Xenopus tropicalis: one gene and its partners. The protein of the gene in region 3 purifies or fractionates together with the protein of the main gene of each other region. This does not show direct contact. Links are inferred from orthologs where the notes say so. Each region holds a gene or a part of one and is shown on either strand. Other genes may lie near its edges.

Region 1 (5,195 bases), on a different chromosome or scaffold from region 3:
GAGCTGTAAGAGAAATATATATGTTACAATGTGACAGCTTTAGTTTCAGAATGAATACAGTTGTCAGACAAATAGTTTAGCGCTTCTGGTATAAAGGGAAAAGTATGTTTATCTTTGAGGCCATGACAATAGGCAAAATGGAGAGGCTTAACACATTACGGACATGCACATGTGTATCTTATTATACAACGTATTGTCCCCTGGTAACCTCTACTGGTTTACGTAGCACTTTATTCCTAAACTATGAACAGCTTAGTAGTACTAGCAGGGTGCAGTCAGAGGGGCAGGAACTCCACCCTGGGAATAGTTGTGGGGATGCCATGGGGCTGAATGGTTTAAGACTGAATACCAGAGGCAGAATGACAGCTGTAGGCACCCATCACATGCCAGGCTGTAGCCCAGTGCCCAACGCAGACTTGTTTGATACTGTACAATAGACTGCATGCTAACCTTAGTCTTTTCTACTGTAGACCGTTTTCCCTTTATAGCAATACTTGAAATTCCATGATAATTTGACTAATTCCATTTAACATAGGCTTGCATTCCATAGGCCATTTAGGCTATAGAACATAAATGTGGCTGCTTGATAAAGAAACATGCCATTTGACTAGTAAAGGTAATATCCACAGACTCAGATGGACAAGGCAGACTGATTGCTACTCAGGTTAAGGCAGGGACCCCCAACCAGTGGCTCGGGAGCAACATGTTACCCACCAACCCTTTGGCTTTTGCTCCCAGTGGCCTCAAACAGGTGCTTATATTTGAATTCCTGGCTTGGAGGCAAATTTTGGTTGCAAACAGACCAGCCTGTAGGCTGCCAAATAGCCAATCACAGCCATAATTTGGTACCCCAGGTACATTTTTAATGCTTGTGTTGCTCCCCAACTTTCACATTTTAACCGTCTCACAGGTATAAAAGACTGGGGAGCCCTGGATTAAGGACACGCAGATTAGAAGGCTGGCCCTGGCATGACCTGACTGGGGAGTAGACACCACAGGGAAGTGCCGAATACAAAGATGCCTGGTTGCAGCACAGAACACATCTCCCACTTCCTGGCTATTTATGAAGTGTTGATCCCTTGCAGATGCCTTGAGACTTTATGAAGACAAACAATAAACTGCTGCCAAGAGTCCAAGCCTGACACCACTAGACGGATGGTTTGTAACTATATTGCACTGCTCGTCAGCATACAAACCTTAACCTGGCCATACATGCACAGTACTGACCGAGCCCCTTCTTGTATGGTCACTCACAGCACCCATCCGTATTACTGACCAGCACATGGCCATTTCTGGGGGATTGGGGGGGCGGCATTACCCAGGGCACATAACTACCTTCTGTTGTCCGATACCCCACTGTAGCTTTTATGCCCTTAATAATGCAGCATGGCATATGCAAGAGCATTAATATTTAACCATGAGAGGGGACAGGCATGCCAGGCAGTTCATTGTGCAAGATGTAATAAAGTTAAAGTGAACCTTATTACATCAGCAGGAGTCGTGCCCTTGCTTAGGCAGGAGACCAACGCATTTGGTGCAGTGTTGCTAGCCCTGCATACCAGTGTTAGAGGGGGAACCATGGCACAAAGATGGCAGGAAGGCAATGCCTATGCTTGATTATGGCAGACCACCACCACGTGAAGCAAAAAAAGGCTCATGCAGGGGAAGGATTAACATGACTGCAGAACTGAAAATGCCTTATATGGCTTCAGTTACGTCGCTATAAGTCTATAAATAGCAGATTTAACCCCTGTATGAAGCGCAGTAAGTGCATGCAGATTGGACACCCTGGGACAGAGAAACCCATGCAGCCACAGTTCTGTACATAGTAATATAAAGCATTTACCATCCCCTATATAGCCATCAGTATGCACTATATCTACCATATAACATACACACCATGTGGATTTGCTGGCTCAGGCACTGCAGTAAGAAAGGGAGAGGGGCCTGCATGCCACCAAGGGGACAGTAACCCTGACAGCACCTCACGTACTTGCCCCTCAGCTCCAATCCCTTTAGACACAAACCATGCAGAGCGACTACATCAGCTTTCCCCTGGCACCAATACACAATGGCATTACCCATGCACCCAACATGCACTGCTGGGGCCCCTAAAGCACTCCCTGCATTAGCCTGAGGGAACAATAAGCCCTCACTGACAGGCTTTGTGCATAAAGCCTTTAGGCCAGGCAGCAGGTGTATTTCCCACAGAGCGGTGTCTCCTCGCTAGGGCACGGCGTGATTAAAGCCCTTTGAATTCTACACTAAATATACCCGCCATGCCCACACCCCAGCAAGTGGGGCATCCCACAGGGCACACCTACCCCGCACTAACACAGGGCTGAGCAGCTCAGCAACCAAGCAGACATTTTGAGAACAAGAAATCTTCACATTACTTGATTTCTTCTAAAATGGATTCCTCCTCCCCCTCCATAGAAGTGACACACGGGAGGCGGGCTCTCCCAGCCAGCGAATAAAGGGCCTAGTATAGTAAGACCTAGCAACAGACATTCACTTGTACCATATTTACAGTAAATGATATATAGCCACCCTCAGCAGCCCCCAGCTCTTGCACCAACATGTGGCAGAACTACCCTCCCTGTACTTGCCTCCGCTAGGAATGCTGGGAGCTGTAGTCCGACCATTTTGCCCAATACGCTGCCCAGCGGATGTATCACAGCCATAACTATCAAACAGCGAATGAACTCGCTGCACAGCAGGACATGATACATTAGTGATACAGTTACATTGTCATTTTCTTTATATTAACGACTAGAAGGCGTCAAGTTACCCCCCCAACCAAGAGCCTAGTGTATCACGTGACACCGAGGAAACATGTATGCGGTAAGAATAACGCTGCAATACAGCCAGCAGATTCACCCGGGGCTGGGGGAGACGGCCAGACCCGCAGCGCAGTGACGCCCCCGCACCATGCAGCAAACAATGGAACCCCCCCCGGCCCATTCCATCGTGTTACAGTCATGTGACCGGCTCACCCCATCGCTCCAGCTAGCCCCAAGCACCCATGGGAGCCGCACTCACACACACAGGAACATGGCACACGCAAAGAAAGTGCAACCGGACTCTATCAAACCAGCAGTTTCTGACATTCTCACAAATGGCGCCAAGACTTAATGCCACCCCCCTCCCCCGACAGTAAAGAGTCTACTCTCATTACCTCCATGATAATACGGCCCATCGGGCAGCCATCAACGGCGATGTCGAAAAAGACCCTGGGTAAAGCCATAGTGCAGAATGAAAATAAACAGTGCCTTGCCGTGAGCGCAACGTGCAGCTTCCTAACCCCCTGAACTCTAAACAGCCCAAGAGAACCACGGAAAAGAGCTTAAAAACGGAAGCGGGGCTGATATTATATGAGAAGCTTGGCCCCGCCTGGCATCGTTTAAGGGAAACACACCAATAGAATGGTTCCATGGTACTGATTGACAGCGCGGCGGGCCAATAGTAGGCTGCAGGAGAGCTCATAAGGTGTGGCACAGAAGCGCGGGAGTCCTGGGCGCGGCCTGTAGAGGTGCGGTGAGGGCCGGTCCGGCTGTGACGCGGGGAGTGGCTGCCTTCGCTTTGGGCTATAACTCAGGGTTAACACTATTCAGCGGATAGGGTAATCCGGCATGCATTTGTGGCTTTATACGACATTGCTGGAAAGCGTTCTTCATAACGTATAGCTGATGAATGGCTAATAGTAAGTGTAATAGCTAGTTCTGGCAAGCCCTTCAACATACTTCTTTCTGTAGGTGCACTAAAAAAATTTGCAGCGTTGCAGTAAAGTGAGAGTGGACTGCAGCGAACCAAACCCGGTGTAATAGGGATTTTGAGTGTTTTTGTCGCCTGAGCGTTTTGTAACTCAGCTGTTACCTTCTGGAGCACTGAAACATTATTTTGCCCAGTCCTGCTCTTAAGGGCAAATGCCCATACCTGGTGCACTCTTACCTTCCAGTTTGTGCCTGTATGTTACCCAACCACTCAGATTGTAAGCTCTACGGGGCAGGGACCTCCTTCCTACTGTGTCTCATACCACATGGCACTTATATATATATAGATATAGATATATATATTTATTGTATTTATTTATTATATCACTTGTCCTCCCTGTGTGTAATTTTGTATTCTGTAAGACTGTACAGCGCTGCGTACCCTTGTGGCACTTTATAAATAAAGTTATACATACAATGGCGATACAGCATTATAAATTGCTTTCCATTAATTCGAGAGGCATTTGCCTGCTCAGTGCTGAGGTGATTACTGCTCCAAAGCGTCTCTTAGTTATAATTGCTTGAGCTTAATAAGAGGTAAACAAGGACAATGCTTAACTGCTTTGACGCCCATCTATAGAGCTACAAAATAGGGGACAAAACGTGCAGATGTGACCCATGTGGCGACCGTAAAATAAAGTGATAGGTGTGTTTATAAATGTAGAAGCCAGGTGGCCACCGGTGATTCCCATTGACATTGATGGTGTTTTGAAGCATTTCATTTTTTATCTTACCAGGAAAGCAAGACCTACTAAACCTACACGCAAACAACTAGGGGCAGATTTATTAGGACATGAACGCTCGGAGCGTATTTTCGCCGAGTTTTTCGTACGCTTGCGCGAAAAAATCAGAAAGGTTTTCCCGCTGTTTACAATCGTTCGGTATGAAAATTTAGTGACTTTCGGATCACCAATACAATATTATCATGACTAATACAATTTTTTCGTAAGCATTTTCGTGATATTTGCGATCTTCAGAAATTATAGTATCCAATCCGAATTTTTCTCATTCGGGATTCGAACGCTTGAATGGTCCCCCTAGGGTTGCCATATTTAATAATAATATACCTGCCTTTTCATCTGTATTTTTATGGGTTTTACAGTCAAGCATTGTTTTTAGCAGCCAGGGTGGTATAATACCAAGCTGGTGGCAATCCTAGCTACCGCCAACCCCTCTGTGAATATCGTAGCCTGGCATTTCGTATTGGGCCTGTGGCCTATTTTGTACCTTAGCTGACCATGGGACACAATTTCTTACTGAAAGCAGCTTCAGGTGTGACAGGACCCAAATAAAAGCATGGTTTCTACTTTTTTTTTTTTTTTTTTTTGAAAAAAAAGAAAGGCTCTCCTATTTTTGTTATCTTTCTTTTCTCTTAATAACATTGGCATCAAGTATCCTATTTACCAACTGGGAGAGAGAAAT
Region 2 (5,341 bases), on a different chromosome or scaffold from region 3:
ATGAATCACTGATACTATGCCTTATCAGCCGGCCACTTACCTTCCCTTCTGCATCATATGCCTTTGCCCACTCGCTCATCACAAAGATGTCATTGACTGAGATGCAGGCAATAACTGCTGCACCGCGGGATTTCAGCTCGGCTGCTTGAGCCACGTACCCCGGCAGATGAGTCTATATATGCAGAAAGACAATGAATGAGACTTAGTTTGTGATGTTGACATGCATATTTATCCACGTGTATGTATGTATGTATATTTTTATTTATAAAGCGCTACTTATGTACGCAGCGCTGTACAGTAGAATACATTAATACAAACAATGGGTTAATAAGATAATAGATAAATACAAAGTATAACAATAAATACAAATAAATACAAGATACAGTTGCAATAAGTTAAGAGTCAAAGACACAAGAGGATGGAGGTCCCTGCCCCGTAGAGCTTACAATCTATATGGGAGGGTAACTTACAGACACAAGTAGGCAAATATAAGTGCTGTAGGTCACAGTGGGTGACACTACAATATAAGTGCCATTTCCCTGATCATGCTTCTCTTCCTTTACCTTGGAGCAGCCAGGAGTGAACGCCCCCGGGACACCAAACAGCACCCCCTTCTTGTTAGCAAACACATCTCTGATGCTGACCTTGTTCCCAGGCCCCCCCTCATACACCGTCACATTAGGAAGTTGATCTCCAACCTGCAAGTATTGAATAAAAAAAAAACCCCAATGAAATATTAATTGTCTATAACAAGGAAGTGTACAAAGTTGTCTCAGGGATTTGCCCACAACCGAAATCCATTGTGTAAGTAATTTCCTTTACACGACACTGGAATTTATTAAGGTGTCTCTTCCTCATTGCGACATGTATAAGATTACAGTTACCAGCTTTGGGTAACAATTAGCAGTATCAGGTTGCCACGGCTTATTTTTCTTTCAGTGTATATGCAATTACAGTAGTCCTTCTGTGACAATACACTTATACAAATGGCAAGCAGCTTTAACAGGATGGATCACTGCTCCTAAATAATGAATGTATTCAGAGTAATGGATATTTCATGCTAATATCATAATACTACACATATTAATCTGAAAATTATAAGAAACAACTATATGTTCCTAGCCTTGGGCACATATATGTCCCCTGCAAATAAAGTATATATTGAATATAGACCAACATCACACTAGCCTATGTCTCGGCAGCAAACAGGTGTTCAGGGAAGTCTGACAGGTGGGTGCTGTTACCTGGCACCATGCAGGGAGAGCAAAGAGGGAAGCCTGTGAGCATAAGAATAGTGGATATAAGAATAATGGATTTGCAGCAGGGTCAGAGTGTTGTGTGTAAGGTGGGCTGATGTACTGATGAAGCAATACAAAAATTAGGAAAGTATTGAATACCAGATCTGATCATTTTCAGATTTAGAAGACTCCTTATTCCTGGCCGAACTGAATCCAAACCCTAAACATCACATGACTTTAGACAATGTGACAGATGAAGGTTGATGATTATTTTTTGAATGCTGTGTTTTTTTCCAAATGTTGTTAATTACATATGCAAATTAGTGTTTGGCTTTGGTTCGGTATTTGGACAAATCTGGTGTGGTAGAGTCCCACAAACTGACATGGGTGTATTAGTAGGGTGTTTCACTTATTAACCACCTAAAGCAGATTTTGGGGGAAGGGTGAATCCTCAGCGCATACCCAACAATAAAAGAACATTCTAGGCAACTTTCCAATACACAGTCATTACACATTTTCAGTTGTTTAAGAGTTATGTGTAAATGTCACTGCTACTGAAAAAACTAAAAGTTTTTTTTTATCCCTTTCTGTTTTGATTCTCTGCAAACAATATATTTGAAATCAGTTCTCTGGGTATATTATCCAGCCTCTGCTCTGTTGCTTTAGAAGGTACCAATAACTTTGAAGCATTCATTGTTATATGTATATTGGAACATTGCTTATAACCGTGGTCCCCAACCCGTGGCTCAGGAGAAACATGTTGCTCCCCAACCCTTAGATGTTGCTCCCAGTGGCCTCATAGCAGCTGCTTATATTTGAATTTCTGGCTTAAGGTGGCCATACACGCACCGATATTATCGTACGAAACCTCGTTTCGTACGATAATCGGTGCGTGTATGGTATGTCGGCGAGTCGACCGATATCGCAGGAACCTGCTGATCGGACCAGTTGGAAAATTTTGATCGGGCGCCATAGAAGGCGCCTGACCAAAATTCTCCCTTCAGATCTGAATCGGCATAAGGAGGTAGAAATCCTATTTTTTCTACCTCCTTACCTGCCGATTCAGCCCTGAATGGTGTGTGGCGGATCTTACGATGTTTCGTGCGACCGATGGTCGTACGAAACATCGTCAGATCGCCACGTGTATGGCCACCTTTAGAGGCAAGTTCTGGTTGCATAAAAACAAAGCTTTCTGCCAGTCCACATAGTGGCTACCGAATAGCCAATCATAGTGCTTATTTGGTACCCCCAGGTAAATTTTTCATGCTTGTGTTGCACCCCAACTCAGGTGAAAAAGGTCAGGGACCCCCAGCTTGGAATCACATTTCCTTTCACTATGCAAAAAATGAATAAACATTTGGGTGGAGTTTCCCCTTAATTTTGCTTGGAATTTGGATTATCTTATTGCAGGCCCGGACTGGCAATCTGTAGGCTCTGCTTAAAATGCCATAGACACTCACTTGCTACTGGGCCTCTGTGTACTTGATAAGGCAGAGCCTGCAGTATTTAGAATCTTAGCCCAGAGCTGCGATACTGTAACCAGACTAAAATAATCATTGCCAGGAGTAATTCCCCTGTTGCAATATACAAAGACGTGGAAACCCACTGGGAATTCTGGTGACAGCAGTTTGGCTTTTCAGCATGTTGTATGTATGTGTGTGTATATATATATATATATATATATATCTTAAACTCCAGTCCTTCATTATTTTATACAACAAGTGCACTGCAGAGCTTACTATCTATTAGTTGTACCTGGGCAAGCAGATAACATACCCAAGAACAGTAAGGAGTGAAAGCAGGAGCCACAGCATGCCAGGGAAGGAGGGCACACACGTTTATATAATCTAACTCGTATTTGACAGGCTGCCCAGTAGTATGAGATGTGGAATCCAGCCAATACCCACACAGAGAAATCTCTGCCGCACACAGGACATTGCTGCCGGTTACACTGTGCCAGCGCACATACCTGCCCACTACAAGCCGCTACTCGCTACATACGCACCTTTACAGACATGGCTCTTGTTCTGCTCACGAAACTTCCAACCGCTCGCAGAGGTGACAGGAGGAGGAATGAGACGGGGAGCCGAAGAGCCATGACAACCAAAGTGGGCTGAGCCGATGGGACACGGCAATTCCGCCCCTATAGGGCAGGCAAGGACTTTTTAAAAATTCCTAGCGCGCATGCGCGCACGGACAAAGCCCTTAACCTTTAAGGTTTGACGACGCATGCGCGGGGGGTTTGTTTCGCGGCAGAACGTAGCACTTTTTCTATTCACTATTTCTTTAATGTTAGTAGTGCTGCAATTGGGGTGTAATGCCGTCCCGCCTGTTCTGTTCTTCCCCCAAATTGCATTCCGCCAGGCAGTATGGCAGGTTTGTGCATAGGGAGCTTTGTTGTTGCCGCCCGACTTTCTCTTGCGGCTCTCTGGCTGCTCGTTCTGCCTCCGTGTGTTTCAAATGTGTCAGCAGCCAGCAGCACTTTACTAGATAATCCTACTAATCGGCACAGAAATACCCGCTTCATGTAGATCCTTGTTCTCAGTGCTGAAAAAGAAGGAGAAGCGAGAGGCACACTGATATCCCCCCATAACCCACAGAAAAACAGAGGCACAGTAATACACACCCACAGAAAATGAGAAGCACAGTGATACCCCCCCAGCCAATCACAGGCACAGTGATCCCCCCACCCCATAGGCCAAAAGAAAATCCAAGGCACAGTGATACCCCCCCCCCCCCCAGAAAATCCGAGGCTAAATGATCCCCCCCACCCCATAGACCAGTGCTGTCCAACTGGCGGCCCGCAACCCCCCTCTGTGCGGCCCCCCACCTGTCTGGCTGCTTTGATGGCTTACTCTTGTGTAAGCTTTAAATGGTATCAGTACTGAGATTAACTGCCCCCCCTGCATGGTTCTCACCTCTGATTCAGGCTGTAATCCCTCTGTATTGTTTAAATATGTAATCCCCTGTGTTGTTCACACCTTTTAATCTCTGCATTGTTCACCCCCTGTAGTGTTCACACCTCAGGCTCAGGCTGTAATCACCCATATTGTTCCCCTGTTCACACCTCAGGAGGAGTAGAAACCCACAAATAATCCCTGCACACTACAAAAAGAACATATACTGAGGTGGTACTGCAATTAAAAAGTTTTTTAATATATAGTTATTGTGCAGACTGTAGGAGCACTGCCAGCATTGTGTCACTGTATGCTGCCTGTGTGTGCCATACACACAGGCAGCATAGGGCAAGCAGAGTATGGCACACAGGCAGGGTAGGGAAGGCAGAGTATGGCACACACAGGAAGAGTAGGGCAGGCAGAGTATGGCACACACAGGCAGGGTAGGGAAGGCAGAGTATGGCACACACAGGAAGAGTAGGGCAGGCAGAGTATGGCACACACAGGCAGGGTAGGGAAGGCAGAGTATGGCACACACAGGAAGAGTAGGGCAGGCAGAGTATGGCACACACAGGCCAAGTTTGGCACAAACCAGCCAAGAATGGCACACACAGTGAAAGTATGGCACACGCAGGCAGGATAGGGAAGGCAGAGTATGGCACACACAGGCAGAGTAGGGAAGGCAGAGTATGGCACACACAGGCAGGGTAGGGAAGGCAGAGTATGGCACACACAGGCAGAGTAGGGCAGGCAGAGTATGGCACACACAGGCCAAGTTTGGAACAAACCAGCCAAGACTGGCACACACAGTGAAAATATGGCACACGCAGGCAGGGTAGGGAAGGCAGAGTATGGCACACACATGCAGGGTAGGGAAGGCAGAGTATGGCACACACAGGCAGGGTAGGGAAGGCAGAGTATGGCACACACAGGCAGGGTAGGGAAGGCAGAGTATGGCACACACAGGCAGGGTAGGGAAGGCAGAGTATGGCACACACAGGCAGGGTAGGGAAGGCAGAGTATGGCACACACAGGTAGGGTAGGGAAGGCAGAGTATGGCACACACAGGCAGGGTAGGGCAGGCAGAGTATGGCACACAGGCCAAGTATGGCACAAACCAGCTAAGAATGGCACACACAGTGAAAGTATGGCACGCAGGCAGGGTAGGGCAGGCAGAGTATGGCACACACAGGCAGGGTAGGGAAG
Region 3 (5,138 bases):
TGACTGCATCTTCTGGGGCCCCGTGAGTCTTGCTCTCTGGGTTGAAATGAGGGCCCGCGCTGATACAGCCTGGAACAAGCAGAGAGCAGTCAGGAACACACGTAACTTTCTATTTCTGGTATTTATTGAGCACTGACACAGAGCTTCCCAGAGATTATGCATCATTCCCATCAGTCCCTTAGCCAAAGGAGCTTACACTCCACAGTCCCTGTTACAGCCACGCTTACCGTTGGTGTTGTCGCCAAACTCATGGATATGGAAGCCGTGCTTTCCGTCAGTCAGGCCGTAAATCTTCCCTTCAACTGTCACTGGGCCTTCGTCCTGCATAGAGAGGATTTTATTATAAGGAATTCCTGCCCCGACCATAACAGTACAGTGTATAGAAATCTATGTTATATTAAAGCTGGAATGTGCGGGTAGGATAGCGGAGCTATGGGATATATATGGCTACAGCATTTGGATTCAGCGAGGCGCAGGCTCTAACTGAACCCCTACCCTGAGTCACATGACTATTAAAGCTCTAGACGACTGAATGTAATAACGCTGCACATGTGGGCAAATCCGCATATCGTGCCAGTGCCACAGATTCAACTTGTCTTTTTAAACACAGCCCATGTTACTGGCCACTCATGCAGCAGATGGATCAAAAAGTGCCAGCACCTGAGGGGTTAATGGCATATGGCCCGCCTACAGAATGGGAAACCAATCAGAGCCACAGAGAAGATTCCTGACCTCGGGTTCATTTTTAAGCTGACTTATCTGTGGGATTGTGGGAGCTGCAGTCCAACACTGCCCGTCTCAGACACCGCTGGCACTGCTGCAGCCAATGAAACGCCGGAGCAAATGGCTGTTATTGCAAAACAAAGCTCGACGTTCCAGTCCCAAAGTGCTGAGTCACACTTACACAGCAGTGCCCTAACTGCCTGGCATTGTGCCCTATCTGCCTGGCATTCTGCCACACTGGCTGCTTCTATTGCAAAGAGCCCAGATGCAGTCAGATAGTGGGAGTTGTAGTTCAACCGCATCTAGCGGAGTCCCTGGGCCCAACACTGCTCTACAGACAGTGAATGACTGCACAATGTGGCTAATGGTGAGTGTGTGCCCTGGGCATAAACAGTGAGGGCTTGTGCTGCATCAGGGCCCCCCTGGCACAATTGCACTAACTGGCACAGCCTCAACCTGCCTGCCCAGCAGGCTAATTACAAGGAGATAACCAAGAGTGGCTTTGCCAACATGTATAATCCCCATGCCACATGGCCACAAAGCAGCGAGCCCCCGGCCCTCACACCCACACAACAGATGGCCGCTCTGACCCGACTTCCCCTCGCTGAGAGCCGCAGCTTAGCCCAGTGATAGCCGGCCCGCTGGCACGTCATGCAGCCTGGGCCTCACTGCAAACACACAGTCTGGGGTGAAAGGGCGGCACGTGACACACCAACCAGAACAGCGGGTCACAACATCAACCTGTGACTCTCCTGTATAACTAAACTATAACTCCCTGCATGCTCTTTGTGTTCATTGTAACCAATAGCAGCACTGGGCAAAGCCCTGGGGCACTGGTTTCAATTCCCTGGAGTTATGCAGGGCACCCATTCCTCATCTACTACATGGCAGGAACGGCTCCGGCAGGGCATGGGGCACTGGTAACAATGCATGTGTATAAGGACAGCAGACATGGGCACAACTGGCACCACAGGCTGTATGAAACTACAACTCCCAGCACCTACTTGTTCTGGAAGGTATTTTTGCAGGGCACTAAGCAGCAAACTAAATGATTCTGTGGGATTTCCCTACAGCGCAACATGGACTTTCCCCCCTGGATTCTGTGCTGTGGGGGTGGGACACTAGGTACAGAGCTAAAGGCAAGAGGCCTGGGAGAGGAGAGAGAGAGTGAGAGGGGGGGGGGGGGGAGACTAACGTGTGCATCCCACTTACAGCCCTCTGTTATTATACAACTCCCATCAACTGTCATTCATGATATAGCGGTCAGTGGGCTGCGGGGAGTTACATATCCCTCACCGAGTGGCGCTCACACCCCGGGGCCCTATAACAAGCGCTGTGTGTAGGAGAGACCGTGGAAGTGGCACAGGGGCCACAGCTTATGTGGAAATGATTTGTTCCCACCAGTAAAAGTCTAGGACAGAGACAAGACCCCCCCACACCTATACTGGCAATGCAGAAATACCCTCCTATGGGACTGTCCCTCCGCCTCCCAGCATGCACTGCCAACCCAACCGCCTCCCAGCATGCACTGCCAACCCAACCGCCTCCCAGCATGCACTGCCAACCCAACCGCCTCCCAGCATGCACTGCCAACCCAACCGCCTCCCAGCATGCACTGCCAACCCAACCGCCTCCCAGCATGCACTGCCAACCCAACCGCCTCCCAGCATGCACTGCCAACCCAACCGCCTCCCAGCATGCACTGCCAACCCAACCGCCTCCCAGCATGCACTGCCAACCCAACCGCCTCCCAGCATGCACTGCCAACCCAACCGCCTCCCAGCATGCACTGCCAACCCAACCGCCTCCCAGCATGCACTGCCAACCCAACCGCCTCCCAGCATGCACTGCCAACCCAACCGCCTCCCAGCATGCACTGCCAACCCAACCGCCTCCCAGCATGCACTGCCAACCCAACCGCCTCCCAGCATGCACTGCCAACCCAACCGCCTCCCAGCATGCACTGCCAACCCAACCGCCTCCCAGCATGCACTGCCAACCCAACCGCCTCCCAGCATGCACTGCCAACCCAACCGCCTCCCAGCATGCACTGCCAACCCAACCGCCTCCCAGCATGCACTGCCAACCCAACCGCCTCCCAGCATGCACTGCCAACCCAACCGCCTCCCAGCATGCACTGCCAACCCAACCGCCTCCCAGCATGCACTGCCAACCCAACCGCCTCCCAGCATGCACTGCCAACCCAACCGCCTCCCAGCATGCACTGCCAACCCAACCGCCTCCCAGCATGCACTGCCAACCCAACCGCCTCCCAGCATGCACTGTGCATCTCATACTGCCTAAGGGGAAAGGCTGGTTGGAATTGCACAGATGGCGCAGGCTGCAGGAACACTAGCAGCTGAAGGCACAGGACAGGCCCAGTAAGGGTAAGCGCATAAGGCACAATGCCTAAAGCCACGCTACAATACTCGCCTGTTGCTGGAAGTGCACCACCCCCTTCACGTCGCCGCTTCCCGCCAGCACACACACCGCCCGCACCATGACTGCAGCTACCGAGACCGGACAGCGGAGAAAGCGGAGCCGCGCACCTTGAGAGACAACTAGTGACACAAACGTACCACGTGATTCCTCCAACCAATAAAAGCGGCGCTTTAGGCCCCACCGCCCCAGCAGCTGAGCCAATGGGCTGCTCCCTCAACCACGTGACCCGCGGGCTGCCTGTAAGCTCTGACTCCGCCCAAATCTTTATTCTTGGTTGTATAATCAATAAAAATATCATTTTAATTAACAACATTTATTTGCACAGTTTCAGTGCTTTTAACGTTATTTGTAAATGCAATTGCTAAGGCAGTATCTGCTTATCCCTTTTTATTCTTGGGTTTTGACTTGAAACTGTAGCAGAAGTGTTAATGGGCGGATTTACATTAATGCTGAACTTCTCCAAACCCACCTGTTACTTCAAAATAAATACAAAATAAAGTATTTAAAAAAAAGATTTCCTTACTGAGCAGTGCTACTGACACTATGGGGCCCATTTACTAAACAATTTTGAGATAAATTCGTATTTTTATAGAACATTTTGGAATGTATGGGAAAAAGTCAGTTTCATGGTTTTTCATGGTTTTCGGTAAAATTTCCATGAAAAAGTCGTATTTTGTGCACAGAATATGAACATTTTGGAATTCATTATCGCTATGGTTACACTTTGGGACGTTGCCAGGTTTGTCAAGTGCCATTGAGTCCTATGGGGGCTTCAAAAACTGTTTTTGTGGCGTTTACAAACTTTCAGAACGCAATTGCGATATTTTTGCACAAACGATAAAAGCTTTGTCGAGACATTTTAGAACTACAGAAATTATCGTGTTTACTTTGCATTTCAAGGCCAGAAAAAAGCGCATTTTAGTAAATGTGCCCCTATGTCTGTTTCTTGGAAAAGCCCCAGGCTCCGCCAAACTATCCCGATCCCTGGCTGCCCTCCCCTATTGCTCCCTCGCTGCCCTCCCCCTGCTGATCGTGGAAAAAGTAAGTATAAGTTGCACTGGGGGGGGGGGCTAGCCTTAGATGAGTAGCCGGTGGGGGTGCCAGAGGGGGTGAGGGGACCCCTGGGTAGCAGTCGGACCCTGGCACTGGAGGGGCTAGCCTTAGATGAGTAGCCGGTGGGGGTGCCAGAGGGGGTGTGGGGGCCCCTGGGTAGCAGGATAGCATAAATAATGCCTGGGTGCAGGATAGCAAAGCATCTGTATAGTATGTATAAATGCCGCACTCACAGGTCTTATGAAAACAAAAAATATTTATTAGCAAGGACTAACGTTTCGGCTGACACAGCAGCCTTTCTCAAAGTGAATGTGCAACAAACAAATCCCCCAATAAACCCAACAGTGGCGCCAAAACCAGTATGACATCATCAACTGGGCGTGTGTTATCAAAAATAGAGAAAAAAAACACAAAGAAAACAAAAAAAAACAAAAAAAAAAATAGAGTAAAATCGAGATTTTCAGACAGAAAAGGGCAAAGTGCAATTACCGGTGTGGTTATCACAGGTTGAACACCCAGTGTGAGGGAAATTGATCAGTGAAAAGTAAATGTTAAAATACTTGTACACACATGTGTTGAACTATAACTCGCAACACGTATTCATGGAGCGAGGCCCAGTCCCGGGTCCGGTTAATAAACCGAACGACAGTGGTGACAGGAGGCAAAATAAGGTTTAGTAACTAGTAAGGGGGCATTAAGCCGCCCACATATAACACTCAAACAGAGCGTGGCAATAAGACAGTCATAGGCTTGCGTCATACAGTGACCGTCAGAGAGAAGAATAGCGCTGCTAACTCAGCAGCTCATTCAGGGATGGCATAGGTGTGCGCACAGCGAAGAATGTGGGCACATCGTGACAAGCGGCAGTGTGATCCGGGACGGCTAGTAGCACATATGAATATGGAATCCATGTCATACAG
Region 4 (5,081 bases), on a different chromosome or scaffold from region 3:
CTCGATGGCTGGAACTTGCCCTTCAGTCTCTGGCTCATTCTGGGTGACCTTATCCCCAGGGACAGTGCAGACATACAGTAAGGAGGCATCCGGCGCTGTCTCTTTAAGGCTGACACTGCAGTTTGTACGTGACTCACAGCACAGACTCCCGGCTGCCGAGAGACAGGGGCAGGTCGCTAGCCAGGGATGCGTGTGCCCGGGGGGGGGGGGGGGGCTATCAGCCCCAACACTGTGCAAGCCCCATGGGTATCTAAGATTCTGCATTACTACAACTCCCAGAAACCCCTCTTATTTCAGAGCTTTCCCCTGCCTTTGTTAATGCCAAACCTGACTCCGCCCCCTCTTCCCCAAAACTACACATTAACCACTGAATTAAACGCTCCCCCGTGCAATGCATTCTGGGTCGTGTGCCTTTCATCATGCTGTATGAGCAATGCATTCTGGGCCTTCTCTCTGCACACTCCGGCTGGGTGCAATGCATTCTGGGTCTTACGGATCAAGTGGGGTCAGGCGTGTAGGTGCCAATGAATGAATGGGGTCTGGCCTGAATCCTGAATTCCCTGCCCTTGGGTTCAGGCGATGCAGCCGTTGCTTTAAAGCCACTTGCCCCCCCCTGCGGAGCTGCCATGTAGCAAAGGATTTTACAGCATCCAGCTTTATATATTGGCCTTTTTATTTTCCTTGTACTCGATACATCCTGTTATGAACACATACCCACTCCTGCCCTGTGTGCAAGGCATGCTGGGATGCCAGGGATACTGCACACATTACAGGCAGGCTGAACGCTATTATATATGAAGGACATAGAGGTCACAGCAGCGGATGCGGAGAGATTGTGGTTTGATTTAGAGCATCCCCAGGCTCCATAACGAGCTCTGCCAATCAGGAACTGAAAGGGGCCAATTATGGGTTAGAAATAATTCTATGTATATATCAGACACACGTAACAGAAGGGCAGGGAATATATTTCATATACAGAATTGTGCAAGTGACACGTTGGGCAAGGACACTTTGGCCGCTCAGGGTGCAGGATATTACCCAGCAGAGGGCCACGCTATATAAACCCAGCCAAATAACTACACTAAGCACTTAGGAGGCAACACATGGCCAGATTCGGTCAGGCAGACACCAAGCACACTGGCGCCTATACCAGACTGGGGGGGGGCCGGAGTGGGCAGAGCATCCCATTGTATTGCAGCCTGACTGCCATTGCACCATGTGGGTGGGGGCACAGTGATTGGTGCAGCAGCAGATACAAGATGGCAGCACCCCTGCACATGTATGGCCACTGTATCCAACTAACTGGCCCTCAGGCTGGGGGACTGGCAGGGGTGTGGCCACCTACCTGGGAAGGCTGCCAGAGGGGGTAGTTCAAATGGGGCTAGCAAAGAAGTGCATTATCTCAGCTGCACATACCCTTAAACCCCTTGCCCCATTTTAACCCCTTCCTTACAGCACAAACCCAATAACAGCCCCTAATAGATATGCTTAGGCCAAAGCAGCCCCCCCTAAAGCCTGGATACAACCCCTAATATATATTGTTAGGCCAGAGCACCCCCATAAAGCCTGGATACAGCCCCTAATATATATTGTTAGGCCAGAGCACCCCCATAAAGCCTGGATACAACCCCTAATATATATATAGTTAGGCCAGAGCACCCCCATAAAGCCTGGATACAGCCCCTAATATATATATAGTTAGGCCAGAGCACCCCCATAAAGCCTGGATACAGCCCCTAATATATATAGTTAGGCCAGAGCACCTCCATAAAGCCTGGATACAGCCCCTAATATATATTGTTAGGCCAGAGCACCCCCATAAAGCCTGGATACAGCCCCTAATATATATATAGTTAGGCCAGAGCACCCCCATAAAGCCTGGATACAGCCCCTAATATATATTGTTAGGCCAGAGCACCCCCATAAAGCCTGGATACAGCCCCTAATATATATAGTTAGGCCAGAGCACCCCCATAAAGCCTGGATACAGCCCCTAATATATATAGTTAGGCCAGAGCACCCCCATAAAGCCTGGATACAGCCCCTAATATATATTGTTAGGCCAGAGCACCCCCATAAAGCCTGGATACAGCCCCTAATATATATAGTTAGGCCAGAGCACCCCCATAAAGCCTGGATACAGCCCCTAATATATATTGTTAGGCCAGAGCACCCCCATAAAGCCTGGATACAGCCCCTAATATATATAGTTAGGCCAGAGCACCTCCATAAAGCCTGGATACAGCCCCTAATATATATTGTTAGGCCAGAGCACCCCCATAAAGCCTGGATACAGCCCCTAATATATATAGTTAGGCCAGAGCACCCCCATAAAGCCTGGATACAGCCCCTAATATATATTGTTAGGCCAGAGCACCCCCATAAAGCCTGGATACAGCCCCTAATATATATTGTTAGGCCAGAGCACCCCCATAAAGCCTGGATACAGCCCCTAATATATATAGTTAGGCCAAAGCAGCCCCCCATAAAGCCTGGATACAGCCCCTAATATATATTGTTAGGCCAGAGCACCCCCATAAAGCCTGGATACAGCCCCTAATAGATATATAGTTAGGCCAGAGCACCCCCATAAAGCCTGGATACAGCCCCTAATAGATATATAGTTAGGCCAGAGCACCTCCATAAAGCCTGGATACAGCCCCTAATATATATATAGTTAGGCCAGAGCACCCCCATAAAGCCTGGATACAGCCCCTAATATATATAGTTAGGCCAGAGCACCCCCATAAAGCCTGGATACAGCCCCTAATATATATTGTTAGGCCAGAGCACCCCCATAAAGCCTGGATACAGCCCCTAATAGATATATAGTTAGGCCAGAGTAGCCCCCATAGAGACAGACTTAGGACTTAGAGCAGAAATGGGCCACTGATTACACCTGCCCAGGGGCCACAGTTACAGGGAGGTGGGACAGGATATAGAAACGTATGCAGTTTGCACCTACACCTGCCCAGACTAACCAGCAGGACTCCGGCACTAACAGTAAAGGGCAACCCGACCCAATATAAGGTGCATACAGTTACACTGTTACCCTTCTGGTTACCGGGGGATGCTGGGAGTTGTAGGCAGGTTACGTTTTACTCCCCGGGATCGCACATGGGTAACATCCCCTACCCACACACACTGCACCCCAAACACACCGACGCCTATAGCGCCCCACCTGTGTCCGCACTGATCTTGCCGCTGTTTAGAGTGTTGATCAGCTCCGTCAGGCTCTTCTTGTCCCCATTCATCTTCCAATTTCCCCCGACGAAAAATTTCCTGGAAGACATGTCTGACAGTGTATGTGTTGCACCTAGGCGATACCGTTCGAATCTGGCAGAAGTGACAAGCGCCGCGGTCTTGCTGCCCCTTTAAATACGCCCAAGGGACACGCCCACTCCTGTCAGCGTACCGTTCCGTCAGACCCGCCCCCCCGTTGCCATAGTGAGCACCTGCGCGCCTAGTGCAGTGTAAGGGAGGCGCCATTTTGATTGATGGCAGGACAGTCATCCTATCCAGGGGGCTTGCAAATACCTGTTTCAACTTTTTTATTGTTTTGTGGAGTTTGGGTTCATTTAAGAAGACTCCCCAGTTTGTGGAAGACTTTTACATGTGCTAACCATCTGATTTATGACTGAAAAATAATAAAGTGATACGCTCAAATTGTGCCATAGATCATAGAGAAGGCAGTGTGGCTCTTCTGCTTGTCCTTTTCTAAGATCCTGGATGGAACTATAAATATATATATATATAACAATGGTTTCATTCTAGATGCTAAACTCACAGATCGTCTTATTACTTTGAGTTTCTTCAGCATTTTTTTCAGTTCAGTTCAGGAGCTCTCAGTTTTTTTCAGCAGCTATCTGGTTGCTAGGGTCCAAGTTACCTTAGCAACCAGGGAGCTGTTTGGGTGAGAGACTGATGTGAATAGGAGAGGGCCTAAATAGTAAATGCGGTTACAAAAAGTAAGAAATTCAATAAAACTGGAGCTTCACAGAGCAATAGTCTTTTGGCTGCCGGGGTCAGTGACTCAAGTGAGTCAGTGACCATTTATAAACTACAAAACGTTGAAAGAAGGTAAATAATAAAAAAAGAACAATAACAAATCCATAATGAAGACCAATTGAGAAGTTGCTTAGATTTGGCCATTCTATAACGTACTAAGGGGCCCATTCATTAAAGCACAAATTTTCGCCAATTAAAAGCACGATTGGGCTCTCCAACCTGGCCCAAGGAAAGCCTCCCATAGGGCTCAATGGCACTCTGCAGCTCCAACCCGGCCCAAGGAAAGTCTCCCATAGGGCTCAATGGCACCCTGCAGCTCCAACCCGGCCCAAGGAAAGTCTCCCATAGGGCTCAATGGCACCCTGCAGCTCCAACCCGGCCCAAGGAAAGTCTCCCATAGGGCTCAATGGCACTCTCCAGCTCCAACCCGGCCCAAGGAAAGTCTCCCATAGGGCTCAATGGCACTCTGCAGCTCCAACCCGGCCCAAGGAAAGTCTCCCATAGGGCTCAATGGCACTCTGCAGCTCCAACCTGGCCCAAGGAAAGCCTCCCATAGGGCTCAATGGCACTCTGCAGCTCCAACCTGGCCCAAGTAACCTGCTGGTTACTAGGCGCGACAAATGTGATTTTGTTGCAAAGTACGAAAAAGTCGTACTTGTCTGTGTGTGCCATACCCTCCCTGCCCTATGTTGCCTGTGGAAGATGAATCTTGCAGGGGATTGTTCTGGGATTTTTATCATTTGGAAATATGCTGCCTGTGTGTGCCATACTCAGCCTGCCCTACCCTGCCTGTGTGTGCCATAATCTTCCTGCCCTACCCTGCCTGTGTGTGCCATACTCTGCCTGCCCTACCCTGCCTGTGTGTGCCATAATCTTCCTGCCCTACCCTGCCTGTGTGTGCCATACTCTGCCTGCCCTACCCCCTACCCTGCCTGTGTGTGCCATACTCTGCCTGCCCTACCCCCTACCCTGCCTGTGTGTGCCATAATCTTCCTGCCCTACCCTGCCTGTGTGTGTGTGCCATACTCTGCCTGCCCTACCCCCTACCCTGCCTGTGTGTGCCATAATCTTCC

Evidence for each region. The genes of interacting proteins can lie anywhere in the genome.
Region 1: the proteins of sod1 (region 3) and ppia fractionate together in Homo sapiens (co-fractionation; 3 studies listed by BioGRID, with this or other methods). This does not show direct contact. The link is inferred for Xenopus tropicalis from reciprocal best matches to the Homo sapiens genes SOD1 and PPIA.
Region 2: the proteins of sod1 (region 3) and prdx5 fractionate together in Homo sapiens (co-fractionation; 3 studies listed by BioGRID and IntAct, with this or other methods). This does not show direct contact. The link is inferred for Xenopus tropicalis from reciprocal best matches to the Homo sapiens genes SOD1 and PRDX5.
Region 4: the proteins of sod1 (region 3) and tpi1 purify together in Homo sapiens (affinity purification with mass spectrometry; 3 studies listed by BioGRID, with this or other methods). This does not show direct contact. The link is inferred for Xenopus tropicalis from reciprocal best matches to the Homo sapiens genes SOD1 and TPI1.

The regions. Positions count from the first base shown.
Region 1 is NC_030679.2:126,270,326-126,275,520, forward strand, and holds the start of ppia (peptidylprolyl isomerase A (cyclophilin A)), read right to left. Parts: upstream 3,331-5,195; 5' UTR 3,248-3,330; coding exon 3,179-3,247; intron 4-3,178; coding exon 1-3. UniProt on the Homo sapiens protein: Catalyzes the cis-trans isomerization of proline imidic peptide bonds in oligopeptides.
Region 2 is NC_030680.2:34,742,437-34,747,777, forward strand, and holds the start of prdx5 (peroxiredoxin-5, mitochondrial), read right to left. Parts: upstream 3,331-5,341; 5' UTR 3,256-3,330; coding exon 3,244-3,255; intron 699-3,243; coding exon 564-698; intron 173-563; coding exon 41-172; intron 1-40. UniProt on the Homo sapiens protein: Thiol-specific peroxidase that catalyzes the reduction of hydrogen peroxide and organic hydroperoxides to water and alcohols, respectively.
Region 3 is NC_030678.2:15,648,099-15,653,236, forward strand, and holds the start of sod1 (superoxide dismutase [Cu-Zn]), read right to left. Parts: upstream 3,242-5,138; 5' UTR 3,226-3,241; coding exon 3,157-3,225; intron 322-3,156; coding exon 228-321; intron 70-227; coding exon 1-69. UniProt on the Homo sapiens protein: Destroys radicals which are normally produced within the cells and which are toxic to biological systems.
Region 4 is NC_030683.2:9,528,233-9,533,313, forward strand, and holds the start of tpi1 (triosephosphate isomerase), read right to left. Parts: upstream 3,331-5,081; 5' UTR 3,294-3,330; coding exon 3,182-3,293; intron 1-3,181. UniProt on the Homo sapiens protein: Triosephosphate isomerase is an extremely efficient metabolic enzyme that catalyzes the interconversion between dihydroxyacetone phosphate (DHAP) and D-glyceraldehyde-3-phosphate (G3P) in glycolysis and gluconeogenesis.